Linked DNA regions of Macaca fascicularis. The protein of the gene in region 1 interacts with the protein of each later gene in a pairwise test. Links are inferred from orthologs where the notes say so. Each region holds a gene or a part of one and is shown in the gene's direction. Other genes may lie near its edges.

Region 1 (3,531 bases):
ACTGATATCTAGGAATTACCCTGGTGAAGTGGGAAGCTAAAGAGCCTGTTGGAAGGACTGGTGTGGGAATGGCTCTGCCAAAAGTGTTATGTGCATGCAAACCCAAAGAGAGAGAGCACAGAAAACCCTTCAACATCAACCTGCTTGAGGAAAAATAAAGTGACAAGTGGGAAAAGATATATACTCACAGCGAGGACTCTAGACATGTTAAGACAATTTTTAAATGTGCTTTTGGCTTCGAGTGGCAATAATTAGACTCAACATATTTAAGAAGCTACTGATGAGAAGAAACCCTGGAAGCGCTGAAGGACCACATCAGCCCAGACCAAGGATGCTGAAGCAGCATCAAGGCCCTTGGTTTCAGAGGCTCCACCAATGACCCTTTTTTCATGGAGAGCCTGTAGGAGCGAGTTTTGTCTTTGCCCAGTGGGAATCTGTCTTCTATACTTGGAAAACAGGGTTACCCATGTTGCCCCTGCTACCCTTGGGTCATCTCAGAGACACTACCAGATATTACCTATGAGACCTAGTTGTTTTTTTTTTTAAATCTCAGGAAGGACTTGGGTGTGGCTTCCAACGTGGAGGACTCAGTAGCTTCAGAGAGGGTCCTGGGAGAAGGTGAATCGGAGAATAAGGGTGCTGGGCAGAGGGAAAAAGACATTATCATACAAGTTTGTGCTAAAAGATATAGCAATCCTTCTGCTATGGACTAAGTATGGAAAAAAATAAAATGGAATCAAAGTGACCCAAAGGAAATGTAAAACCCAAATTTATGCCCACTAAAGCATTAATGATGCTCTAAGTCCGCTGCCTACTTAAAAGGTTCATAGTTCACATGGGTTGACAGGAAATTACGTTAAGGACACGCTGCATTTCTCCTTTTCTTACAACCCCTCTGATTTGGTAGGGAGGGAGTCAATCATTTTTTATTGGAATTTCTCAGGATTCCAACCTCAGACATACACTTTACACATTTTCTTGGACAAGCCCGACTGTTCCTCTCACTCGTTCGCATAAAGCTCAAGTTTACACAGCCGCCCAGACCTTTCTCTGGGACGCTCATATTTAACTTAATTCTGGATATATCAGGTAAGCGTTTCCCAAGAAACTTGACCCCAACATCCCAAAAACTTAAGTTATCATCTTTCTCCTAAACTGGCCCCTTCTCCAGTACGCATCCATCGCACTCTTCTCCTGCCCTAGATCCCCTCAGCCCAAACGGGAAACCCCGGGATCGCTCTCTCCGCAGGTGAAGCTTAGCCAGGGACCCTCCCCGTCGGGGCTCCGCGCTGCCCCGCCCGCCCCCAGCCGCTGGCCAAGGCCGCAGTCGCGCAGGCGCAGTGCCGCGTCCCGCCGCCGCCCCGCCCTGCCCGCCGCTGCGGAAGGCGCCGCGCACAGCAACGCGCACTTCCTCTCCAGGAATCCGCGGAGGGAGCGCAGGCTTGAAGAGCTCCTGGACGCAGAGGCCCTGCCCTTGCCAGACGGCGCAGATATGTCAGAACAAAGTAAGGATCTAAGCGACCCTAACTTTGCAGCCGAGGCCCCCAGCTCCGAGGTGCACAGCAGCCCTGGGGTTCCGGAGGGGGTTCCTCCGTCCGAGACCCTGGCAGAGCCGCAGAGCCCTCCTTTAGGCCCGACGGCCGCCCCGCAGGCCGCGCAGCCTCCCCAGGCCCCGAGCGACGAGGACGACCCGAAGGCCCTGCAGCAGGCCGCGGAGGAGGGCCGCGCCCACCAGGCCCCGAGCGCGGCCCAGCCCGGCCCGGCCCCGCCAGCCCCGGCGCAGCTGGTGCAGAAGGCGCACGAGCTCATGTGGTACGTGCTGGTCAAGGACCAGAAGAAGATGATCATCTGGTTTCCAGACATGGTGAAAGATGTCATCGGCAGCTACAAGAAGTGGTGCAGGAGCATCCTCCGGCGCACCAGCCTCATCCTCGCCCGGGTGTTCGGGCTGCACCTGAGGCTAACCAGCCTGCACACCATGGAGTTTGCGCTGGTCAAAGCGCTGGAGCCCGAGGAGCTGGACAGGGTGGCGCTGAGCAACCGCATGCCCATGACAGGTCTCCTCCTCATGATCCTGAGCCTCATCTACGTGAAGGGCCGCGGCGCCAGAGAGAGCGCGGTCTGGAACGTGCTCCGCATCCTGGGGCTGCGGCCCTGGAAGAAGCACTCCACCTTCGGGGACGTGCGGAAGCTCATCACTGAGGAGTTCGTCCAGCAGAATTACCTGAAGTACCAGCGCGTCCCGTACGTGGAGCCGCCCGAGTACGAGTTCTTCTGGGGCTCCCGGGCCAGCCGCGAAATCACCAAGCTGCAAATCATGGAGTTCCTGGCCAGGGTCTTTAAGAAAGACCCCCAGGCCTGGCCCTCCCGATACAGAGAGGCTCTAGAGGAGGCCAGAGCTCTGCGGGAGGCTAATCCCGCTGCCCACTGCCCTCGCAGCAGTGTCTCCGAGGACTAGCCAAGTCTGGAGGCAGATGAATGCTTTCTGATCCTCACCAGGGCTGTGGAAGGGTGGGGGTGGGTCATTAGAGTGTTCAGGATTTACAGTGCAGTATTCACGTGTAACTTTTACGTTTCCAGTACAGTGCTTTTATACCTTTAATGCAATGTTGTATTCATTTGGGTACTATTGTGTAGTATTTAGGATGTATGCATGTTTGTTTATATGTAAGCTTGGTTGGTGCTTTCGCTTTTGTGGTACCTTTCTTGGATTTTTGTATCAGAGACGTGCTAAACTGATGAAGTACATTGAGAACGTTTCCATCTTATTAATTTACATGGGACTGAGATGTGTGTTGGGGTAGACTGCTCCTGCAGAGTTTGGAAAAACTCACCAGCAAAGCCGGCCTAACCAAGAAATGTCAAGGCCCTCATGACCTTGCTGGGGACTGAAAACATCCTCGTGGCGTAAACTAATTTGAACTGGACTGGTCTCAATGTGAGAGCACTTGGCACACTTTACTAAACACATATACAACCCCACCGTGAGTCAACTTTAAAGTAAACATTAAAGATTCTTGTGATACAATCATTTCTGGAAGTGTACGTTATCATTTTAACAAAGCAGTATGGTTGGGAATGAGACAATTCTCTGTTTTACAGTATACACAGATATAACTGTTTCCCCTAATGGGGTGGGAAAAATCGCTACTCATGATTACTCCTAAATTTGTGAAGTTTGTGGTTTTGTCTTTAACTCATGTTTATTTCAAAAACATGCACAAATATAGAAAAGCATAAAAAACAAAACAGTAAGATTGTCCATAATCACATCCTATGGGAATAAAAACCAAAAATAATTTCCTTAAGTTTCTACATTTTATCAAAATTAATAGATGCTTTGTGGGCACTTAAAGAGTGAGACATTGTACATGAGCCCTGACGTGTATTTTTCTCCTTTTATCTAATCCTCACAACAGGCCTGTCAGGCAGGCAAGAACTGCCTCTGCACCATGGAGGAAACACAGGAATAATGTAGGTAATGGACTTTCCATAGCTCATACAGGTTAATAAGAGAAGGCGCTAGGACTA
Region 2 (3,373 bases), on another chromosome or scaffold:
TGCGCTGCGTGTGGGACGGTGCGGCCCCGTGCGCTGCGTGTGGGACGGTGCGGCCCCGTGTGCTGCGTGTGGGACGGTGCGGCTGCGTGTGGGACGGTGCGGCCCCTGTGCTGCGTGTGGGACGGTGCGGCCCCTGTGCGTGGGACGGTGCGGCCCCTGTGCGTGGGACGGTGCGGCCCCTGTGCTGTGTGTGGGACGGTGCGGCTGCATGTGGGACGGTGCGGCTGCATGTGGGACGGTGCGGCCCCGTGCGCTGCGTGTGGGACGGTGCGGCCCCTGTGCTGCGTGTGGGACGGTGCGGCCCCTGTGCTGCGTGTGGGACGGTGCGGCCCCTGTGCGTGGGACGGTGCGGCCCCTGTGCGTGGGACGGTGCGGCCCCTGTGCTGTGTGTGGGACGGTGCGGCTGCATGTGGGACGGTGCGGCTGCATGTGGGACGGTGCGGCCCCGTGCGCTGCGTGTGGGACGGTGCGGCCCCTGTGCTGCGTGTGGGACGGTGCGGCCCCTGTGCGTGGGACGGTGCGGCCCCTGTGCTGCGTGTGGGACGGTGCGGCCCCTGTGCTGCGTGTGGGACGGTGCGGCCCCGTGCGCTGCGTGTGGGACGGTGCGGCTGCGTGTGGGACGGAACTTCCCCAGACGCTGTGTCGACCCTCGCAGTGCCCCAGGCCTTGCTCACACCCTTGTCTCTTGTAGTCTGCTCTGGTGTCACGGATGTGGGCTGTGACCCACTCGGTGGATTTTATGACCTTCTAAAACTGGGGTCTTTAACCTGGGGGCTCACAGGTTTCCGGGTACCTGGTTCTTCTGTATTTGTACAGAGGCTTTTTAGGGAGGGATCCACAGGCTTTGCTGGACCCAGCAGGGTTGGCAGGAGCTGGCACAGGAGTGGCATGGCCGCAGCCTGGTGCCTGTGGGCGGCCCCACCCTCTGTTGCATTCTCTTCACAGACCCACTGAGTGTGGATGGCACGGCCGGTGGTCTCGGTGAGCCTGCGGTGGCCTCTGATGGCCTCCCGTCCTCGGAGCCGGGGCCCTGTTCCTTCCGGCAGCCGGACGAGCCCCCCGCCGGACCCCCATCCCGTCCGCCTCCGGCCCTGGCCGACCCGGCCTCGTACCCGCCGGCTGTCGTCGCTCCGGAGGCAGACGCCGGCCCAAGGCTGGCTGTGGACTTCGCCCTGCCCGAGGAGCTGCCTCTCATCTCCAGCCGTGTGGACCTGAGCGGGGACCCGGAGGGGACTGTGGCCCCTGCGCAGGTGGCTTTGTCGGTCACCGAGTTTGGACTCATTGGCATTGGGGACGTGAACCCCTTCCTGGCCGCCCACCCCACGTGCCCGGCCCCCGGGCTACACTCGGAGCCCCTGTCACAGTGAGTGCCACCCCATGCCCGGAGCTTCCCCGACACTCCAGTGAGGTCCCCCAGCCCTCAGGCTGCGCTGAGGGTTTGCCCCAAGGACAGCGCGGCTCCACGAGCGGCTCTCGGGGCTGCTTTAGGGTTATTCTTGACTTGCATGTATTTTCTGACTGGAGAATACATTCGTGTGGTCCACATGCTCCACAAATAGGGGCAGGTGCCAGGCTCTCCCACCCCTGCTCCAGCCACAAGCTCCCCCCAGAGCACCCGGGCCCTGCTGCCGTAGGTTGTCGGGGAGGCAAGGCTGGGAGTCTCGAGTCCAGCGCTCAGCACTGGGCTGTGCAGGCATGTGGGGCCACCCTGACGCCCCGCGTCTCTCTCCGTGTCTTCCCTGCAGCTGTAATGTGATGACCTGCTGACTCCTGGCCGCGGGCGGCGTATGCGGCCCAGACTGGACTTGGCACTGCCGCTGGGCCCGCCTCTGTCAGTCTTCCTGACCCCTTCCCCCGCCCCGGGCCTCGGGGTGGCACCTCCTCTGCTTCTGAACACGTCAGGACTGGTGTGAGGTGGCTGGGCCGTGCGCCGTTGCCCCGGCCATGCAGACTGGACCCAGAGCCACACACAACGCCGTCAGCGCCCGGCACTGCCACCCGGGTCCAGGCTGCTGCCTGCATGTGGGATCCGTCAGGCAGCCGTGGACAGAAAAGACCCGGCCTTTGGGACTCGGGGCAGAGCCGGCCGCCTCGTCCCTTCCAGCCCGCAGAGGCGAGGGAAGGTGTCACTGCCCCGGCGGGGAGACGGGCAGGACGCCCCGCCCCGCACCAGCAGCCTCCGCCGGGGCACCCTCCGTTCCCTGCTTGGCTCTGTCTCTCCACACCTGGCAGGGCCGCGGGCTGCCCCAGCCCTGGGGGTCGTGGGCAGCTGCTACTCAGTGCCAACCCCGTGGGGCACAGAGCCATATACCTCGCTGTCCGGCCCCCAGCCCGGCCTCCCCTCCCACCCCGTCGTCTCCACTTCAGGAAAAGCCGCACTTTACACCCCCACCTGCCTCTTCCCCTCCATCCCTGTTCCCGATCCTGAGCGGTTGGGGTGGGGGCCCCTCAGCAACCCCAGGCGTGGGTTTGAGGAGACAGGTGACTTACACCCCCTTTGCTGTCCTCCCCTGGTACCAAGGCAGGGAGCCTCGAGAGGAGCTGGCCCTGCCGGCCGTGCAGGGGCCGGACTCCAGCCTGTTTCCCCAGCCCTGCAGGTCTTCCTTCTGTGGGAAGCTTCCCAGCAAGATGGCTTGGAGTCCTGGTCCCTCTTCCCCGACCCCTGTCCGTTTCTGTTTCTGTTTACACGTTGGCGTGGGGTCCTCCGTGGGCCGCGGCGTGCCCTGCCCCGGGCGTCGTCCAGCCTCCTGTGCTCGAGCCCCTTTCTGAGTTGGACTCGACCATCCCTCACCCCACCAAGGACCACACTGTGAAGTGATAACTGCCTTGAACCCCCCCTTGCTGTTTTATTTATTAAACTTGATTTGAAGCCCGGGGTGCCTGGTGGTGGGTTGGGTGGCGGCTGGGGTCGCCCGGGGTGCCTGGTGGTGGGTTGGGTGGGGGCTGGGGGCGCCCGGGGTGCCTGGTGGTGGGTTGGGTGGGGGCTGGGGGCGGCAGGTGTCCCTGTCATCTCACTTGGGGGCCTGCATGTCTGTTGGAGGATCCGGGATAAGTTGTGAGCCACAGAGGCGAGGGGGTGCAGTGGGGGCATGACGTGGTGGGCTCCATGTCCACGTCAGTGAGGGAACTGTGGCCATGAGGACGGGATGTGAGGAGGGCCCACGTCTGGGTAGAGGTGGTCGGCGCTGCCTCCTAGAAGTGACAGTTAAGCTGGAACCTGAAGGGGAATGGCCCTGCTTTGCTGGAAGTTTGCAGGGTCCTGGCAGGCGTGACAGCCGATGCAGAGGACAGAGGCCTGGGTCTACAGGAGAAGCTGAGGGCACAGAGGGCAGCGGCTGGGCGGGTTGGGGACAGTAGGGCATGAGGCTGAGAT
Region 3 (4,091 bases), on another chromosome or scaffold:
TTTTAGTTTTTTTTTTTTTTTAAACATATTTTCTTCCTGTTCCTTTTCCAGAATACACCTGATCTTGAAATATTTGGTTAATAGACTTGTCATCAATTCAAAACAAAATCAAAATGTAGCATGGGTTATTATAAACTGGAAATAGTTCTTAAAATGGAAATTACGGTACATCCAAAGTTATAAACCTAGTGTTTCATGAACTACTTACTGAATAGCATCATTTGCCAGCTGAACAGTTTATATCCTTACCTTATACCAGAAAGGATTTTCACATTGCTCAGCAGAATATATAAAATTCAGCAAGATCATGAAATTGGTAAAGAAAATGGAGGAAAGGGAGGTAGGAGCATAATATAGATTGATTTCTTGGGGAATTGAAAACAAATACTTTGTATCACTTATAATTTGGTAACTGCTAAAACGTAAGGGAACCTTTTAATAATCAGTGCTTGTATGTGCCAGATAATTAAGGTGTTGTTGACGAAAATCGTACGTACTTACGGTGCTAGATGTCTAAATATATATATTGATCAACGGACTCAACACTGAAGACCCTGAAAGACTAACGAGTTTTAAAGGTTCCCCTCCCCGCACCGCCAATCCCTTAAATTTTACCAAAGCCTCAATTTGATATCAACATTTAAAGTCAACGATTTGATTAAAAGACTGAGCAATCGACCAATGAAGCCTTGACTTTGAAAACCTACGTGACTCAGTGCAAAACAGTGGGTTTAACTTTAATTAGGATCTTAATTCCTTTTTTTTTTTTTTTTTTAGGCGGAGCCTTGCTCTGTCGCCCAGGCTGGAGTAGCTGCGGCGTGATCTCGGCTCAGTGTGGCTTCTGCCTCCCGGGTTCCAGCGAGTCTCCCGCCTCAGCCTCCTGGGTAGCTGGGATTAAGGCGCACGCCGCCACGCCCAGCTAAGTTTTGTATTTTTAGTAGAGAGGTTTCACCATGTTGGTGAGGCTGGTCTCGAACTCCTGACCTCAGGTGATCCGCCCGCCTCGGCCTCCCAAAGTGTTGGGATTACAGGCGTGAGCCACCGCGCCCTGTGAGGGCCTTAAATATCTCTTGCCACCATTCTTGGAGGCAGCTGATGAGACAAGTGAAGGAACGACTCCAGGATGGAGACAACCCCCAGGATAGTAAACGCGAGATTGAGACGCTGCCGGGAGATGGCCTGTCTTGCGCAAGCGCCTGGGCGGGAGGGTCTGCGCCTGCGCGAGCGCGACTCTGGCCAGCCCCTCCCACTGCCCACGGAGAGTCTGGGCGACTGCGCACGCGCGGCTGGTGAGTGGCGGGTTCCGGCGCAGCTGTGGGGCTGGCTGCGCGCCGCTGAGGGGTTTTGGACTGGGTTAGGTGCGTTTGGTGTATGTGTTTCTCACCTTTTTTCCAGGGCGGTGGTAGCGGAAGAGTTTAGTTAGCGGTGGCTGGCGGATGCCTGAGGGAAGGAGCTGGCGCCGGCCTGAGAATGGGTCGTGGTTGCTGGTTGGGCGCGGTCGGGCCTCGTGTCCGGGTCGCTGAAGGGGCCGCGTCCTGGGCCGCGCACGTTGGCTCCCGGGCCTCAGGCGGCCTTGGTGCTGAGGGGGACGTGAACCCTTAGGCTGCGGCAGCGCGTGGAGGCCTTCCTTCCGCGTAGAAACAGGACTCGGCCTGCGGTCCTTTCCATCTTTGCTCTCAGAAGTTCGCGGAGGGATTTGGCGAAATACCCGACCAGGCTTGACTGTCCGCTCCTGGACGGCGGGCCCTGTCGCCGGGGCTTCTGAGGCGGGCACCCTGCCGGGTGCGGGGGCTGCGAGGTGGAGTAGACTAGGACGAGGGCGGCTTTACTGCGAAACGGCTTCACTGCTGCTGCCTTTACTCCGAAGCCAGTAGCTTCGGAGGTGCAGAAGAAGCGCTGGGACGATCCTGGAGGGAGCCACGTGTCAGACAGGAAGGCCTTGCTGATGGGGGTTGTGGTTACACGCGGTGTACATCACAACGTCGCACTGCACACCTACGACCTGCATTTCACTGTAAGCGTTACCTCCTTTTTAAAGTTAATTTAAAAACAGGATAAATGGAATTCTGGAAAGCGATACGGAAGGAACTGTTTGAGGCAGGGGGACTCAAAGATGAAAAGAGAATGAAAACCTTTGGCCCTTTTCTGGACATACATTGGATTAAGGGTAGAATCATACAGCAATCTATAAAAAGTATTTGGAGAATATCTAGGCCTTACCCATTCGTAGAGGGAGTCTCGCTCGCCTGCGGTTTACTGGAGTCTGGGATGGCTCCTAGGTTAATGCTTTTTCCGCTGTCTTAACCTAATTTCACACAAGAATGAATGTGGAAATTATAGTATGGTGGTTTTGCCCTAAGTAAATTTGGTAACATGGAAATTGAGTGATTTTATACAAAAAGAGACTAACCACAGCCCATGAGAAGCCGGCTAATCCCTGCTTACGCTGCAAGCCAACGTGTCCGACCCTTTGGTCAGGCTGTTCCATTCTTCTGAAATCCTCACTCTTCATCCTTACCTTTCCTTCAGGTCGAGTTGAAACTCCACCTGCTCTTTCACTCCTCTCCCCACTCAGGCCCTCCACTCTGATCCCAGGGCGTGAATGGTGCTTCTCTATAGAGGGCGTCCACCTTACCGTTGGTGTTCGCCATGTGTCTGCCTAACCTAGAATTTTTCGGCTGCAGCTTGTGGGGTGGGATACTTCTTTGATGTGGAGGGCTGTCTTGTGAATTTTAAGTTCGGCAACCTCTACCCACCGGATGCCAGTGGCACCCTCCTTCCCATTTATGGCAACCAAAAATGTCTCCAGGCATTGCCAGATGTTCCCCTTAGCGACAAAAGGGCTCCTCGTTCTGTGAGAACTGCTGATCTAGAGTCTGAGCCACATAAGGTCCAAGGTCAGTTTAATAATAATATAATTTCAATATAATCCATAGGTACAAATTTCAAAATATAAAGAAAAATTTTTTTACTGCCACTTGTGGTGCAGGACCACCCCATAGAGAGTGTGCCCAGAGTAGCCAGAAAAAATTTAAAGATAATAATATAACAGTACTTCCCAACTCTTTTGGATCATAAACCCCCTTAGAAATTTTAAAAATAATAAAGCTATAATGAGATAGTGATTTAAAAAATGTTAAAAATAGGTTAATTTTTTTTTTTTGAAATGAAGTTTCTTGTGACTCAGGCTGGAGTGCAATGGCGAGATCTCAGCTGACTGTAGCCTCCATCTCCCGGGTTCAAGCGATTCTCCTGCCTCAGCCTCCTGAGTAGCTGGGACTATAGGCGGCTGCCACCACGCCTCACTAGTTTTTGTATTTTTAGTAGAGATGGGTTTCACGATGTTGGCCAGGCTGATACCGAATTCTTTACCTCAGGTGATATGCCCGCCTCAGCCTCCCAAAGTGCTTGGATTATAGGCGTGAGCCACTGCTCCCGGCCATTTCATTTAATCTTTGATGTTTATCTTGCTAACCGATTTCAGTTTTCCTCATTAGAAGTGATGCACTTTTGAACTCACTTTAACAATGTAGGAAACATTCTACGACTCTTAAAATTGCAGCCCCCTATGCTCTCCATGTGTTCCTCTGTTAATCTTACTGTTATCTAACATTTATTTCATACGTATTGTTTTAGTCTGTCTTCCTCTCGAATGTAAGCACCAAGAGAATAAGGACTTTGAGACTTACCACCTAGAACAAACAGTGCTTCCTACATGGTAGAAAATGATTATCAAAGGAATGGATTTAATACACTTCAAACTTTTATTTTGGGATCGAATTCTTACATAGATTGGAACTTAATTGCCTTTTACAGCTATGAAAGTAGACAGTTTTATTAAATTGCTCTTTGGAATTCCTTGTTTTGCACTTAAAGTCAACTGATTCCTTTTTGGTTTTCATGTTTTATTTCTAAGTGATTAACAAGTTACAGGCTGTAATTTAAAAGCCCTTCTTCGATGGCCGGGCACAGTGGCTTGCGCCTATAATCCCAGCACTTTGGGAGGCCGCGGGGGGTGGATCACGAGGTCAGGAGATCAGACCATCCTGGCTAACATGGTGAAACCCCATCTCTACTAAAAATACAAAAAA
Region 4 (3,500 bases), on another chromosome or scaffold:
ATACAGGCATAGCTTTTAATCTAGAAAAGTTTCTGGGCTCCAGGATGGAATAAGAAAAGGGAAAGATTATTGGGAAAGAAAGAAGCTAGCACTTTTTTTGTTCTCTTTGTTTTCTGTCTCTGCCACCAGAATGCCCTGTCTCTGAAGGCTAAACAAGGACTTTGTTTATTATCTATTTTCTCTTTTTGTGAATTGGTTTCTCCACCTCTATAATCCTAGCACCTAAAACAAGTGCCTGGCATGCAAGTGAGTTTAGATGGAGCAAGTTCACCAAACACATTCTCATATAAATGTGCAGAAACAGTAGCAACTTTGAAACCTTTATCTTAGTAGCCTTCTCCAGTTGCTGAAATTTACTGGCTGCCTCATGGTTCTATCCTCAGCTCGTCGTCAAGGTGCACATGGACGACAACGGCACAAAGTCACTGATGGTGGATGAGCGGCAGCTAGCCCGAGATGTTCTGGACAACCTTTTCGAGAAAACTCATTGTGACTGCAGTGTAGACTGGTGTCTTTATGAAATCTACCCGGAACTACAAATTGGTAAGTCCCATCCGCAGCAATGGGCTGTACTCCAAAAACCTTGTGGGTTTGCTGTATTACGGGCCTGGGTTTATTCTTTTTTTCTCTTTAATTTTACATAGAAAATAGACACGGGGTCTCACTATGCTGCCCAGGCTGATATCAAACTCCTGCGCTCAAGCAATCCTCCCACCTGGGCCTCCCAAAGTGCTGGGATTACAAGCGTGAGCCACCATGCCTGGCCTGGTTCTTCCTTGAGAAGACTTTGGTTCAAGGCTTTCACTTCCCTTATATGAGATTTAGTGCTCGACTCTTCATTTTGTTGTAGTGAAGAGAGTTGGATTCTAGCAGGTGGTGGCCAGACCTTGGGGGATATAAGCATTATTACTGCTGCTTCTCTAGTGGTTCCATTTGGGAAAGAAAGCGACTGGATGATACTGACTAAGATACTGCATGGTTAATAAGCTGAGCAGGTGGCAGAAGAGGCTGGGTATCTGTCGGCTAATGCCTCTTTAGTGGTTGCTTCCTTAACCGACCATAACCCTGCCACAGTCTCCCACCAGTGCTCATTTCCCCCTCCTCCCTCCCCACTTGCTTAATCTCTGACACTTTGTCTTGTGGAAGAGGCTCAGCCTCAGAGTGCAAAGAACAATTGGTAGAAATTGGTGGAATTTTTCAAAAGCGGAAAAAAGGTTAACTGAAGATATACTGTTACTTCTCATTCTAGGTAGTGGTGGTGGTGGCGTTGAGACAGGGTCTTGCTCCATTACCAAGGCTACAGTGCAATGACGCAGTCATGGGTCACTGTAGCCTCAGCTCCCAGGCTCAAGCGATCCTCCTGCCTCCGCATCCCGAGTAGCTGGGACTATAGGCACACATACCACATTTCTCATTTTTAATAATGGGACAGTCGTCCCTCAGGAGAGCTGGGTGGGACAGAATTGCCTGTGCTGGAAGCTTTAGGAGCAATTTTTTTTCTGGATAAAATGGTTTACACTAAAACAGTCCCTTGAAGTTGTCTTCAGTTCTATGTGTCAAGGGAAGAAATGAAAGCCTTTCTTTATGTTTTAATTCAAGCATTCACACGTTGCTTTTAGAATGTTAAGGAGTGATGTTTTGGAGTACACACTGTGACTCTCACAATTTCATTCAAAGTGTTCCACCAGTCATTGACTGACTGTCCACCTCACGTAGAATGTTTGCCACCATCTGGGACTATTTAAGGTAAAAAATGTCGGTATGAAAAAAGTATGTCTCCGGGTACACTGGCATATGCCTGTAGGCCGAGCTACTTGGGAGGGTGAGGCAAGAGGATTGCTTGAGCCTTGAGCCTGTGAATAGCCACTGCACTCCAGCCTGGACAACACAGTGAGACCCCATCTCTTAAACAAAATGAAAGAAAAAAGTGTGACAGCTGACCATTGTCACTGTGTTATGGGTTTTTTGTTTTTTTTTTTTTTTTTTTGAGATGGAGTCTCGCTCTGTCGCCCAGGCTGCAGTGCAGTGGCCGGATCTCAGCTCACTGCAAACTCCGCCTCCCAGGTTCACGCCATTCTCCTGCCTCAGCCTCCCGAGTAGCTGGGACTACAGGCGCCCACCACCTCGCTCGGCTATTTTTTTATATTTTTTTTTAGTAGAGACGGGGTTTCACCGTGTTAGCCAGGATGGTCTCGATCTCCTGACCTCGTGATCCACCCGTTTCAGCCTCCCAAAGTGCTGGGATTACAGGCTTGAGCCACCGTGCCCGGCCTGTGTTATGGGTTTTTTCATCTTGTTTTTAATGGAAGATAACTTGAAGACAATGAAAGATAAACATAATAGAAATATTACAGTGTGACATCATGTGAGAATTATTAATAAGAATCCTAGGCACCTGATGAAACTCATGAAGATTAACTCAGTAATAGCTTGCTTCTCACTTGGAACCCCTGATGTCTTGGGTCTGAAAGAATACCTTTTCTTATTTCATCAGAGAGGTTTTTCGAAGACCATGAAAATGTTGTTGAAGTCTTATCAGACTGGACAAGAGACACAGAAAATAAAGTACTATTTTTGCAGAAAGAGGAGAAATATGCTGTATTTAAAAACCCCCAGGTAAGATGACCTGCATATTATTAAACCCTATAAAGTATGAAGGATTTTCTTTTTTAAGACAGAGTCTCACTCTGTCGCCCAGGCTGGAGTGCAGTGGCATGATCTTGGCTCACTACAGACTTCGCCTCCCAGATTCAAGCAATTCTCCTGCCTCAGCCTCCCCAGTAGCTGGGACTACAGGCATGCACCACCAGGCCCAGCTAACTTTTTTGTATTTTTTAGTACAGACAGGGTTTCACCATGTTGGCCAGTATGGTCTCGATCTCCTGACCTCGTGATCTGCCCGCCTCTGCCTCCAAAAGTGCTGGGATTACAGGCATGAGCTACTGCGCCCGGCCAAGGATTTGTTTTAATGTCACCTGTATACTAACCACACCATTCATTGTCTCACAAAATATTACAAATATATTATTTTCAAATAAACACAGACTCAGCTCTTAAGCTGTATGTAAGTTAACAGCCCTTTGAAGGATTCAGAAAGAGAAGAATCCATTTTGCTTTTTTTTCATTCCAAATCCAAAATGTATCTCTCTGTGGTTGTCTGATTCTCTTCTGTCCCTGTTTCTGTGTGGCTGTATTAATCCGATATATCTTCATGCACTCACTGTTGGTTCTTCCTGCTTCCTGCTTGAAAGATGCTCTTTTCTTTGTTGTTTGTATTTGGTGCTTATATTTGCCAGGAAAACTAAAAGGACCACCTGGAAAATGTGCAAGTTACTGTGATTTCGTTACAAACAATTTGTGCAAGTAAAAAGCATAAATTTATATGTGTTCTTTTTTTCATATTTGTTCTTCATATTTGAAAATGCTTCCTTCAAGTCATGTGTACAAGGATTTCCAGGCTTTTTCCCAACTGAGGCCTCGAGCAACTATAATTGTGTGAG
Region 5 (4,102 bases), on another chromosome or scaffold:
AAGTGCTGGGATTACAGGTATGAGCCACCGCGCCAGGCAAAAAATAATATTATTAATAATAAAGATCCAGGCCGGGCGCGGTGGCTCACATCTGTAATCCCAGCACTTTGGGAGGCCGAGGTGGGCGGATCACGAGGTTAGGAGATCGAGACCATCCTGGCTAACACGGTGAAACCCCATCTCTACTAAAAATACAAAAAAAATAGGCGGGCGTGGTGGCGGGCGCCTGTAGTCCCAGCTACTCGGGAGGCTGAGGCAGGAGAATGGCGTGAACCCGGAAGGCGGAGCTTGCAGTGAGCCGAGGTTGCACCACTGCACTCCCGCCTGGGTGACAGAGCAAGATTCCGTCTCAAAAAAAAAAAAAAATAATAATAATAATAATAATAAATAATAAAGATCCAGAGGCCTTTTATTGTCATGTTTGAGAACTTATGTACCTGGCATTGTAGACACTGGGGTAAGGCAGGGAAGAAAACAAACAGACAAAATCCTTTCGTTTTCGTGATGGGGGGAATGGGAGCTTGAAGCCATTTTAGAAAAACTGGAAGTGACTCAATGGGGCAGGATCGGAGAGAACCAGGAGAGCGCATCAGGCAAGGTCGTGAGGGGCTTTGTGGCAAAAGGAAGGGGTTTGAAGTTTGTCTTCGGGGAGGAGGGGTAGGAAGCCATGAACAGCAGCGGAGGAGTCATCTTGTTGGAGCGGGGAAGAAGAGAGGTGTCAGGAGACCCAGGTAGGACCACCAGAGGACGCGTTGAGAAAACTCGAGGATTAAGAAGGGGCCGCGGGGTAACGTACGGGGGGCGGGAGAAGCGCAGCAAGGGGGCGGGGCTGCGATCGCCTAGGCAACGCGGGCCGCGTCACACCATTGGCTGGCCTTTCGGTACGTCATCCCCCGCCCCGGCGTCCGCCCTCGGAACCCCGGGGGCGCGACCTCCTCCGGTTGTTCGGCCCCGCCTGCCTGGACCTCCCGGAGCCAGAGGGTATGCCAGCCCCTCTGGCTCCGCGGTGGGGTCCAGGCCTGGCAAAAAGGGACTGCAGGGAGTAGTGGTGACGATCTTGGAGCGAGGACCGTAGCCCAGTGGAAGGAAGCGGTTCTCTTGGACCAGCCGCCCTCCACCCCTGGAGGCGCTGCCCCGCCCCCTGCCAGTTGCACTCCTTTAAATGGCCCGGGGCGCTAGGGAGGGGTGGGCGGGTCCGGCGTCTCCGGGCAATGGTGGATGGCTCCGCCCAGCCAATCGACGCCCCGCGGCGGGCGGGACTCCAGCCAATCGCGGCTCGCGGCTCGGCTCCGGGGCGGGGCTGGGTGGGCCCGAAGCCAGACGGAGAGGCCCTGCCGAGGTGAGCGAGGCCCCGGCCGGTCACTGGTGGGTCCCGGCACTGGCGGGTCGCGACGCTGTGGGCGTTCCAGGAGGTGGTCGTGGCAAACCTGGCAGCTGGGGTGAGGAGTGGTCGCCTGGCTTGGGAATTTACCTTAGGCTGGAGGAGGGAGAGGCGCGCCCCGGAGACTTGCGGAGGCGGGGTCTGGGTGAGACCGGGGGAGGGGGCCTCAGATTCAGGGTGATGATAGGGAGGGTCTGGGGGCCCGAGACTGAGTTCGAGACCCAGGAGGGGATGCGAGGTTGTTGGGGCAGTATTTTCAAGTGGAGGGAGTTTGAAGCTGGGACGTGGGGCGTGGGGCGTTTGGAGAAGCGAGAGAACAGAGGGAAGGAACTTTTGAGACAGGGAACCTGGAGATTCGATTCCACTTGGGTCTTCCGGACGGGTTGAATTCGGGGCTTTATCGTGTTCTGGAAAAGGTGTGAGAGGTTTGGGGCTGAGATCCTGAGTATTTGGAGAAGCGAGAGAGCTAGGGTCAAGGATTCTTGGACTCCAAGACGCACTGGCGGGGGAAGGGAGGATGCCGGGAAGAGTTCAATGTTCGGGTCTTGGAGCCGGGCAGCGAGTTTAGAGGTGTAGTCCAGGGGCGTTTGAAAGTCAGGAGAATAGGGGAAGTGGGAGGAAGTATCAAAATTAGGATACGTAGTCTCGCGAACTAGATCGCAGCATTGTCGTCTTTGAGCGATGTGTTCGGATCTGGGTCTCTGGATCCAAGGGCAGTTTGGGAGGAGAATCCCGGACTTTCAAGGCACGGAGGGACAGGGAGAAAGCAGATTTAGAGCCGGAGTCAGGGGTGGGGGAGGGGTGTTCCGGGCATGGAGCTCAGACTCGCCGCCCCGGAGGCAACGGAGGGCGGGGCTCGGTGGGCGCCGGCAGCTGGACGTCCGGGTTCCCTTCCCCCACTCGCTTGTGCCACTGTGCGCATGCCCTGAGGGAGAGCGGGGTCGGGGGAGGGGGGCTCGTCCCCTGGACGGGCGGAGCCCTCTGGGGATTGTAGTGCGTGCTCGACGTCGGTTCGTGTACCTGGCGGCTGTTGGCCCCCGTTTCCCAGAAGCCCCTGGGACAAATTGGGGCGTTCCTGGATGCTCTCTAAAGACCCATGGAGGGGCGGGGCCTTGCAGTGCCGAGGTCTGATTGGGCGGGACCCCCCTAGGGGGCGGGGCTTGGTCTGAGCTGAGTTCTAGCAAGTTTTCCTGTGGGGCGCGCTTTGGGGGAATCTGAAAGCGCGGGCAGAGGGAATGAGGCCCCTTTCCTACTCTTGGGAGCGCTCCCAGTTGGTTAAGGAAGAGGACATGGAAATATCCTGACTGTGAAAGAAGAATCTTAACATAGGTGCCCCAGCAGGGACCCAGGAAGTTCGAATATAGTAGGCACTCAGTAAATCTGTTGAGCGTATAACTGGCAATTAACTCTTGATCGAGGCCGGGTGTGGTAGTAATCCCTACTCAGGAGTAATCAGCTACTCAGGAGCTGAGGCGGGAGGATCGCTTGAGCCCGGGACTTCGAGACTTCGGTGAGCTGTGGTAGCGCTGCTGCACTCAGCCCCGGGCGACAGAGCGAGACCCTGTCTCTAACAAAAAAAAACAAACACGGCCGGGCGCGGTGGCTCAAGCCTGTAATCCCAGCACTTTGGGAGGCCGAGACGGGCGGATCACAAGGTCAGGAGATCGAGACCAGCCTGGCTAATACGGTGAAACCCCGTCTCTACTAAAAAATACAAAAAACTAGCCGGGTGAGGTGGCGGGCGCCTGTAGTCCCAGCTACTCGGGAGGCTGAGGCAGGAGAATGGCGTAGACCCGGGAGGCGGAGCTTGCAGTGAGCTGAGATGCGGCCACTGCACTCCAGCCTGGGCGACAGAGCGAGACTCCGTCTCAAAAAAAAAAAAAAAAAAACACAACTCTGGTTCATTAAGCACTTCCTGTGTGGTGGGCCCTATAGATACGTGGCATCTCCTTAGACAGAGGTGGTGAGAAGTATTTTTTTTACAGTCCCCATTTTACAGATGAGGAAACTGAGGCCTGAGAATTGACTCAGGTCACTTCCCACGATCACGCAGCTGAGCAGTTTCCAGTACAGAAATCAAATTTGGGGTTCCCTAGTTCCAATCCAGGTCTCTCTGCTCCACACCTGTCTTTCGTGCTCCATGTTTGAAGAAATTAATATTGTGGAAGAACAGTTTTAAGGCTCAGAGGAACTTGTTAGGATCCGTATTTGGCAGATGAGGAAATTGATTCTCATGGATGTAAATTCACTGTTTGAGGCCACAATAGGCAAGTAAGTGGGATTTAAATCTAGCTGTACTTAAGTCCAGATCTTATTTTCTTAATCACATATGTATTCACCTCCTTAACCTTGTAGGATTCAGACAGCCTTCATTTTATAGATGAGTAAACCGAGATTCAGATGATTAAAAATCACCAACAACTCAATAGGCCTGAAAAAGTGGGATTTGAGCCAGCACTACGGTGTCTGGTGTCTGACATGCCCCTATGCCCCTCTTCTCTCTACAGGGCATCATGGTGGGAGGCTTGAAGAGGAAACACTCTGATTTGGAAGAGGAGGAGGAGAGGTGGGAGTGGAGTCCAGCAGGCCTTCAGAGCTACCAGCAAGCCCTGCTCCGCATCTCCCTAGACAAAGTCCAGCGCAGCCTGGGCCCCCGAGCACCCAGCCTCCGCAGGCATGTCCTCATCCATAACACCCTCCAGCAGCTGCAGGCTGCACTTC
Region 6 (3,500 bases), on another chromosome or scaffold:
ATTCCTCTCTGGGAAGTACCTTCAGAGACTTTACCACCTGCAGGGAGAAGTGGTGTCACACAGAAGTCCCATTTCTGTGACTCGACGTGTTGCCACTTTGCTTGGTCACCCATCTTTTTCTTCAGACGTAGCTCCAAATCACTTCTGCTTCTTTTTCAAAGCCAAGTACACTCTCGAAGGATGATGACATTGCTGTACTTGAGGAGATCTTAAAAAATGTGGTATAGAAGTGTTAAAAAGTATTAAAAATAAACTTTAAAAATATTCAGGGGCAGCATCATGGGAGTGATGCTCTTTCCAGGGATCCATTTTGAAGCACTTTTTTATATGTGTACAAAATTTGATATGTAAATTAAAATTTGATGTGTAAATTTAAATGTTATAATTTTATAGTGTGCTTTGTAATAATTCCTTTAAATAAACATTTCACGTGCCACTAACATATGATTTTGACTAATAAACAGTAGGATGTGTAACTTCTTGTTACTGATCTTTTAAGGATTCAGTTATTCTAAATCCTTTGTTAATTTTAATCAGAATTGCATGTAAATGTTTTAGGAACAACTGGAAACTTCCAGGAGGGAAATGATTGGGCTTCAGGAAAGAGATAGACAGTTACAATGTAAGAACAGGAATTTGCATCAGCTACTAAAGAATGAGAAAGATGAGGTGAGTTGTCAGTTACTGCTGATGAAGTTTAAGTGAATTTTTGTTTTCTTTGTAGTATGAGATGACCATAAGAGCCACTTTACTTGAAAAAAGAAAGAACCATTTATTCATCTTTCCCCAAATTGGTATGGTAGACCTTTGTGTATAGTATTTAACTGGAAGGTCAGGAACCCTCTCCACCACAGCCCCCGCCACCAGTGGATCCATTTGGCTTAGATATTAGTTCATAGCTGGTAACAGCCAGTGTCCTGGACTGCCCTTCCTGGACTCATGTTCACTGTCACTTTTTCTGAGGCACAAGAGTGCTTTAAATGCAGACCTTTTATTCTCTGCTGTACCTGTACGTGATAGCCGAGGTGCCCCTTCTTGCATGCACTGTCTTAAATACTGACATTGTTCATCTAGTCAAGCAGTTTCTTCATTAAATGGGCGCAGAAGCAGTTCACATTAAAAATCTAATTTCTAACACAAAAGATACAATTCTAATTTCTGCTTTAGTGGTTACTTAGCAGAATTCTAATTTCTACTTTAGTGGTTACTTGGACCTATAGCACGAATGCATTTCAAAATATTCTTTTTTCATTTTTGTAGGAAGAAACCATTATGTTTTTATTGCTCTAAAGTATGACCTCTGACCATTTAATAACTATAAAAATATAATAGTTTCAGTGTTTTATGTTGTTTGAACTATAATTAAAGACTTCTGAGGAGTGTATTTCTTTAAAGAACCCTGGAGTGGTTTAGATAGATTTGTTTTACCATATTTGTTTATTTAGTAGTATATTTAATAAGTAGGTAATTAGTATTTAAACTGTAAGCTTGCTTATACATGTTTCCTTGAGTTCACAGACAATTCTGACTAGATCTGTTGATTACATTTAAACGGTTTGAATACAGTTCATCTTCAGTAGGGATTAAGTTAATCATGTTAATCCCTAGCAGGGATTGGGAATGGCTTTATAAAAGAATAGGACATACTCTATCAGGGGCTGCCTGAGAAACTGTAATTGATCTGAACTTTGAACAGCAGTGTCTGGCACGTAATACATACTCAGCAAATATTTGGACTGGATTATTCTGCTGTTTGGACTTACTCTTATTTGAGAATTGTTTTTAATTAGAAAAATGAGCCTGCTTACCTGCTGCCATGTGCCACAGGCTTAATTCACTTTGTCACAGATTAACAAAAAGTATAAGTGATTTTTAAGTCAGTAATACAAGGAGTTCACTTAAAATGATCAGATGAATTCAGTTTATCTCAGATGAAGCTTTAATCATTTTAATACTTCCATAAGAATATCTGGTTTTTAAATGTTCAGAGTCTATATGTAAGGTAAAAGGTACAGGAGATAATTCAGAAAATTAGCACTTCTAGAAATTTCAGAATTAAGCTTTATATGATTCATATAATATTTTAAAAAGTGGTTTCTACTGGTTACAAATAAGGAAGAATCATCCTAGGATTTTAAAACCTATATGGGGAGATGAATTTTAGGATTTTTCTCTTTTGAATTTGTGAATTGTAACTGGGCTTATAATAGCAAATGCCTTTTTCAGGTACAAAAATTACAAAATATCATTGCAAGTCGAGCTACTCAGTATAATCATGATATGAAGAGAAAAGAGCGTGAATATAATAAACTGAAGGAACGTCTACATCAACTTGTTATGAACAAGAAAGATAAGAAAATAGGTAAACAGCTGGCAGCTGGCAAAGATCAGCTAAGGGAATAAATCAGCTAATACTATGCTTAGAAATAATTGTAAAAGGATTGAACACAGTAACTCGTGAAATGTTATTTTCATGCTTTATACAATTGCTTTTCGGTGGTGGTGGTTTATATAAAAAATTTAGACAGCTGGTTAGTGGAAAATAAGTCATTTTGCCTTGCTTTATTTAATTACATGTGTTTTTTAACATGACCAGTGTAGAATTAATCCATAGAGAAAAACTAAGCCAGAGGACATTCTAATTTTCCATATCAAAGAACTGATAATATTAAAAATCAGGGTCAGTTTCTGAGTGTCAAAATAGAGTAAACCTCATAAAATTTATCATCAGACCAAATCGTTCATGTCAGTTTGAGTTCCTTTAAATAAGTTTAGCTGTGCATTTTTGGAGAAACTAGTCAAAAGGATGGACTTTGAAAGTTAGGCATGTGTGTGTGTCTAAAGTATACTTTTTTGCTAATAGTAGGCTTTTTCAAAACGTTAAACCATTTCATCCAAATATGTGGATAATTTCAAGTAGATAGTGTAAATTAAAAAGCAAAGAAATATGAAAGTAGATCTTTAAAATACAGTTTTGCTGGCCTGGTATAAATACGAGACACAAGAAGTGTGTATTTATTTATTGAAGAGTGGTTTCCAAGTGACCATACGTAGTCCTCTAACATACATTATACCATGACACCCCTAAACTGTCTTACCTTAGATTTGAAAAACAGACGATGAGCATACGTTTCAGGCTGTCATGTGGTACACTCTGCCTGCTGTCAGCAAGCAGTTTAGTGTTGACTACATCGCTGTCATTCTACAGCAGAGCTGTTGGAGGTAGCCGAATACTTTATTTTTTAAATTATTGAAAAATAGAAATGAAGATTCAGTAATATGCAATTAAGATTGGAAAGCTTTAGGTATCCTGAGTTAATCTTACTCATTTGGAGAATCATTGGTTTTTAAGGTTAGTTAGCCTCATGTTCATTCATGAAGGAAAAACAATTAAAAAGCAGGATGAAATGCTGAAAGTATTGTTTTAAATTTATTTTATTTTATTATTATTATTATTATTTTTTGAGACGGAGTCTTGCTCTGTCGCCCAGGCTGGAGTG
Region 7 (3,996 bases), about 130 Mb from region 1:
GACCGGTGCAGCTGCAGGCCGCCGCCCTGGGCGGCTCGCGGCGGGAGGGACTGAGACCGGGGCAGCCCACAAGGGCTGGGCCGCGTCGCTTACCCAGATGCCGCCGCGGCGGCAAGCCGACTCCTCCGTGCAGGAGGGGCGGGCTCCCAAGCCGCGCACAGCAAGCGGTGGAGCCGGCTCACGCACCCCGCGGCTGGCTCTCGCGCGGCTTCCCGCGCCGGCAGCCCGCGATGGCCCCACGTGACCGCGTGTCTGGTAGCAGGGGAACGAGGGGCGCCAAGGCCAGGGTGTGCGTGCGTGCGTGCGTGCGTACGTGCGCGCCCTCCCGCCCGCAGCCGGGCGGGGGTCGGCCCGCGCTCTGAGCGCTGCCGCTACAGTTCGCAGTCGTGACTCTGTAGGCGGAAGCACAGGGACGAGCCTGAGCGTCACAGGCTCCCCACAAACAACCGCGTGACCCGGGGACTTTCCCCAGGGTGTGCAAAAGCACAGGCACCCCCTCAGTTCTGGGGTGAAGGTGGGGGTGGGGAAGGATGCGCCCGCGTGTTCGCTGGGGAAGGGATGAGGGCGCGGGGCCAGGGAGGCCGAGCCGCGGGAGCCTGGGTGGAGAGGCGGACTGGGCGAGGTGGGGCATGGCGAGGGAAGTGACTCAGGGCCAGAGGCGGACAGGCCCACGGAAGGTGGGGTGGGGGGAGCGCGGGGACTAGGCGACCCTGAACCGACCGGACAGAGCGAGGTTTCCGAAGCACTCGAGGCGGACCGCGAGGGACGGCCCAGCTGCTGGGCCCAACGGGGCAGGGGTCTGACATCTGGACAGAGTGGGAAAACAGCCGCGCATACTGCCCTGGGGAGTCGGGAGGAGCCCAGTCACATCCAGCTGTGCAAACAGGAGGAGGAGGAGGTCCCAAGCCTACCCTTGAGAGAGGGGCGAGAGGGGTGGTCAAGCCGCCGCTGCCGCGACAGCCCCCGCGGTGCGGGTTGCGCCAGCCTCCTCGGAGCCCGACGCAGAAACTTGTTGCAACAAACAGGCGACCGCGGGTGCCCCTAGCAGCCAGCGGCAGAGTGGGTGGGCGGGCGAGAGGGAGGGGAAGGCTGGCGGACGCCGCAGCGAACTGGTGGGCAGACCCGGAGTCGCCGCGTAAGCGGGGCCGGCTCAGTGCGGTGCGGCAGGCGCGGCTGTGCGGCAGCGGAAGTCCTTTGTTGCAGCACAGTCCCTGGCAGAGCCAGAGCCTCTCCGCGCAGCCCAACCCGAGCGCCGAGCGCCGCCGCCACTGCAGCTCGCGGCCCCTTCGCCTCCGCCCGCCTTTGCCGTGGCTGATTTGCCTTAAACTCCCTAAAATCTCCGCAGCTCTGGTTCCTGCTGCGGCCGGTAAGTATTTGCCAGTTGTGGGGCTATTTGCGCAACTTTCGCCCGGGCCGGAGGGCGACGGGCCGCGGGCCTGGCGGAGTGCGGGGCCGGAGCGGCGCCGACCCGTGCGGGGAGCCGGAGCGCGGCGGACGCGTTGCAAGGACCCGGTGACGGGCGGCTGCCAGGCCGCCTGCTTGTTGCCGGCGCGTCAGGTCCCGGGCGTGCGGCCTCCCTGAGTCGGAGGCAAAGCCCTTACGGAGACTAGTTCCCAAATTAGTTACCTTCTTTTCTTTCTTTCTCTGCCTTTATTTTTTTCGAGGGGGGGAGGGGAGGTGTAGACGGGAGGCGGGAGAACCCGGTTGATTGACGTGCCTGGAGCCCGCTTCTCTCAACTTACAGCTGCGGCTCCGCGGCGGGTGGGAGGGGAAGTGTCCCGGAGCCCGAGGCTGCAGACTTGGGCGCGCTCCGAGGGAGGAGGCGTAAGAGCCGCAAATTCTTGCTACGCTGTTTCCCACCCCCTCTCGCCGGCACACACGCTTTTTGTTCAGTAAAAAGTGGAAGGTCTGAGTTTGGGAATTTTAAGTGGAAAAGATCTGTTTCCTGGGAAGGAAGTGCTTTCGCTTGCAGCGGTGGGCGCTTACTTAGAAGTTCGGTAAATATGTTGGATGCAGATCGGGAGTCGTTTACTACTAAAGTATGTAGGCAAGGTCTGAGCTCAGCCACCCCACCCAGTCTCCCTTTCTACCTAAGCAACGCGTGTACATGATCTGAAGGGTTGACATGACATTTTCTAAATTGGGCGCATCAGGAAGAGGTTGATGAAAATCCTTGACGTTTTCCGGGGATAGGACATTTGTATGTGTGTGATAATGTTCTTAAATCGAGTTTCAGTGTGGCGGTGCACGCAGATTCTTCATTGGTGTTAGTGTTTCCATACGGTATGTATCACTACAAGAACAGTGTTCCCTTTGACACTCGAACCCAAGGAATGGTCCGAGGCTTTTTGAGGCAACCTAGGATCAATGTCTTGAGTTGAAGTTGGAGGCACTCTGAAGCAGATTTGGTGAAGGATGCAGTTCTTGTAATTTACAGAGCAATCACAGTCTTCTTTGAAACGGAGAAATTAGATTCCATGAAATTTTATCAGTGCAGATAGATATGATGTGGAGAAACGGGGAAAATTGAGTACAAAAAGATGAGGCTTGAATGATGGCTGGCCATCATTTGCTCAGAACCTCAAAACTTTGCTTTTGAATCACTTGCTGGATATCTAATAAAGTCTCAATAATAACTGGATGACTTTGGGAGCTAGAAAGCGGCTTACTCCTCTTAAAGAAACAGGAAACTGGGCCGGACGCAGTGGCGCACGCCTGTAATCCCAAATGCCGAGGCGGGTGGATCACCCGAGGTCAGGAGTTCAAGACCAGCCTGGCCAACATGGCGAAACCCCATTTCTCCTAAAAGTACAAAAATTAGCCTGGCGTGGTGGCGGGCACCTGTAATCCCAGCTACTGAGAAGGCGGACGCAGGAGAATCGCTTGAACCCGGGAGGCGGAGGTTGCAGTGAGCCGAGATCGCGCCACTGCACTCCAATCTGGGCAACAAGAGTGAGACTCCGTCTCCAAAAAACAAACAACAACAACAAAAACCAGGAAACTGAAGCCTGGTGGAGGTGAAATGCTTTTACAAAGGTTAGTAGACACAACGTCTACAGTAGAGCCTTCAGTTAACCTCTTACATTCATTTTATGAGCAGTCTTTCTCCATTAATACCACATTTTCATGGTATTGAATAACTCGGGTAGAGCAGTCTTTCCTGAAGCCTTTCTATTCTTCCCACTCCTAATATGATGGCCTACTTTTTCGAGTTTTTTGTGGGGAAGGGACTGGTGTATCATTGTCAGAGAAAAGAGAAACCATATTTAACCAGGGCCTTAGCAGGGCATGAGCGCAGTCACAGCCACTTGCTCTTGACCTTGTGCTTTGATCTCACTTTAACACTTCTAAATTTTTGTACTGCTTCCTCATTCTCCTCTTTTGCCAGGCTCTGGGGAAGATATAGTTCATGGACCTTTTTAAGAGTATCTCGTTTTATTTGTAGCATCATTTCCCTTTCTAATGTGCAGGAGAAAAGAAGTACCTGCTTTCAGACTTGCCCTCTAGCCAGGAAAAGCACTAAGCCTTTGCTCTTCACCTTCTGGTGCAAAGGAGAGGAAACTGTTGATACAGAAATACAGAAAAATTCCCGTAGATTTTTGTTAATAAGCTGCAATCTGTTGTCTTCCCAAAAAATTGAGATATATTTGAGAAACATCTTCTTGAGAGGTCACTTTGGTCTCTACAGAATGTTTTCTCCTGACATTTTCTTCCGTGCTAGTATCTCATGCTAAAACGGAAATTGTTTTTTCTCATATTCTTATATGAACCAAATTAAGGGTTATTCATGTCTTTTTTCTCAAAATGTAAGTAATTTTTTATTATAAAATCCATGCTCTTTGTAAAAATTCAGCCTGTACTGAAGTATATAAAATACAAAAATGAAAGTCATTTTGACTCCCACTCCCCAGAGAGAATCACTGTGTACAGTCAATTCCTTGTTTAAAACCTGGTTACAGCTGTGCTGCTGTGTGTGCCTCACTCTGCCTGGGGATG

The links.
Region 2: the proteins of NDN (region 1) and MIER2 interact in a two-hybrid assay, tested with the Homo sapiens proteins (2 studies listed by BioGRID and IntAct). The link is inferred for Macaca fascicularis from reciprocal best matches to the Homo sapiens genes NDN and MIER2.
Region 3: the proteins of NDN (region 1) and EEF1AKMT1 interact in a two-hybrid assay, tested with the Homo sapiens proteins (2 studies listed by BioGRID and IntAct). The link is inferred for Macaca fascicularis from reciprocal best matches to the Homo sapiens genes NDN and EEF1AKMT1.
Region 4: the proteins of NDN (region 1) and APBB1IP interact in a two-hybrid assay, tested with the Homo sapiens proteins (2 studies listed by BioGRID and IntAct). The link is inferred for Macaca fascicularis from reciprocal best matches to the Homo sapiens genes NDN and APBB1IP.
Region 5: the proteins of NDN (region 1) and SERTAD3 interact in a two-hybrid assay, tested with the Homo sapiens proteins (2 studies listed by BioGRID and IntAct). The link is inferred for Macaca fascicularis from reciprocal best matches to the Homo sapiens genes NDN and SERTAD3.
Region 6: the proteins of NDN (region 1) and SSX2IP interact in a two-hybrid assay, tested with the Homo sapiens proteins (2 studies listed by BioGRID). The link is inferred for Macaca fascicularis from reciprocal best matches to the Homo sapiens genes NDN and SSX2IP.
Region 7: the proteins of NDN (region 1) and ZBTB1 interact in a two-hybrid assay, tested with the Homo sapiens proteins (2 studies listed by BioGRID and IntAct). The link is inferred for Macaca fascicularis from reciprocal best matches to the Homo sapiens genes NDN and ZBTB1.

Annotation. Positions count from the first base shown.
Region 1 is NC_088381.1:5,296,370-5,299,900, forward strand, and holds NDN (necdin), read left to right. Parts: upstream 1-1,404; 5' UTR 1,405-1,492; coding exon 1,493-2,458; 3' UTR 2,459-3,031; downstream 3,032-3,531. UniProt on the Homo sapiens protein: Growth suppressor that facilitates the entry of the cell into cell cycle arrest.
Region 2 is NC_088393.1:868,137-871,509, reverse strand, and holds the end of MIER2 (mesoderm induction early response protein 2), read left to right. Parts: intron 1-945; coding exon 946-1,363; intron 1,364-1,745; coding exon 1,746-1,767; 3' UTR 1,768-2,873; downstream 2,874-3,373. UniProt on the Homo sapiens protein: Transcriptional repressor.
Region 3 is NC_088391.1:1,096,669-1,100,759, forward strand, and holds the start of EEF1AKMT1 (EEF1A lysine methyltransferase 1), read left to right. Parts: upstream 1-1,291; 5' UTR 1,292-2,014; intron 2,015-4,091. UniProt on the Homo sapiens protein: Protein N-lysine methyltransferase that selectively catalyzes the trimethylation of EEF1A at 'Lys-79'.
Region 4 is NC_088383.1:27,300,054-27,303,553, forward strand, and holds part of APBB1IP (amyloid beta A4 precursor protein-binding family B member 1-interacting protein), read left to right. Parts: intron 1-383; coding exon 384-543; intron 544-2,494; coding exon 2,495-2,616; intron 2,617-3,500. UniProt on the Homo sapiens protein: Appears to function in the signal transduction from Ras activation to actin cytoskeletal remodeling. Suppresses insulin-induced promoter activities through AP1 and SRE. Mediates Rap1-induced adhesion.
Region 5 is NC_088393.1:47,545,587-47,549,688, reverse strand, and holds the start of SERTAD3 (SERTA domain-containing protein 3), read left to right. Parts: upstream 1-1,302; 5' UTR 1,303-1,339; exon of another isoform or gene 1,340-1,526; intron 1,527-1,670; exon of another isoform or gene 1,671-1,797; intron 1,798-2,580; exon of another isoform or gene 2,581-2,891; intron 2,892-3,488; exon of another isoform or gene 3,489-3,652; intron 3,653-3,888; 5' UTR 3,889-3,894; coding exon 3,895-4,102.
Region 6 is NC_088375.1:149,985,519-149,989,018, forward strand, and holds part of SSX2IP (afadin- and alpha-actinin-binding protein), read left to right. Parts: intron 1-558; coding exon 559-669; intron 670-2,226; coding exon 2,227-2,362; intron 2,363-3,500. UniProt on the Homo sapiens protein: Belongs to an adhesion system, which plays a role in the organization of homotypic, interneuronal and heterotypic cell-cell adherens junctions (AJs).
Region 7 is NC_088381.1:132,326,036-132,330,031, forward strand, and holds the start of ZBTB1 (zinc finger and BTB domain-containing protein 1), read left to right. Parts: upstream 1-1,196; 5' UTR 1,197-1,366; intron 1,367-1,763; exon of another isoform or gene 1,764-3,036; intron 3,037-3,996.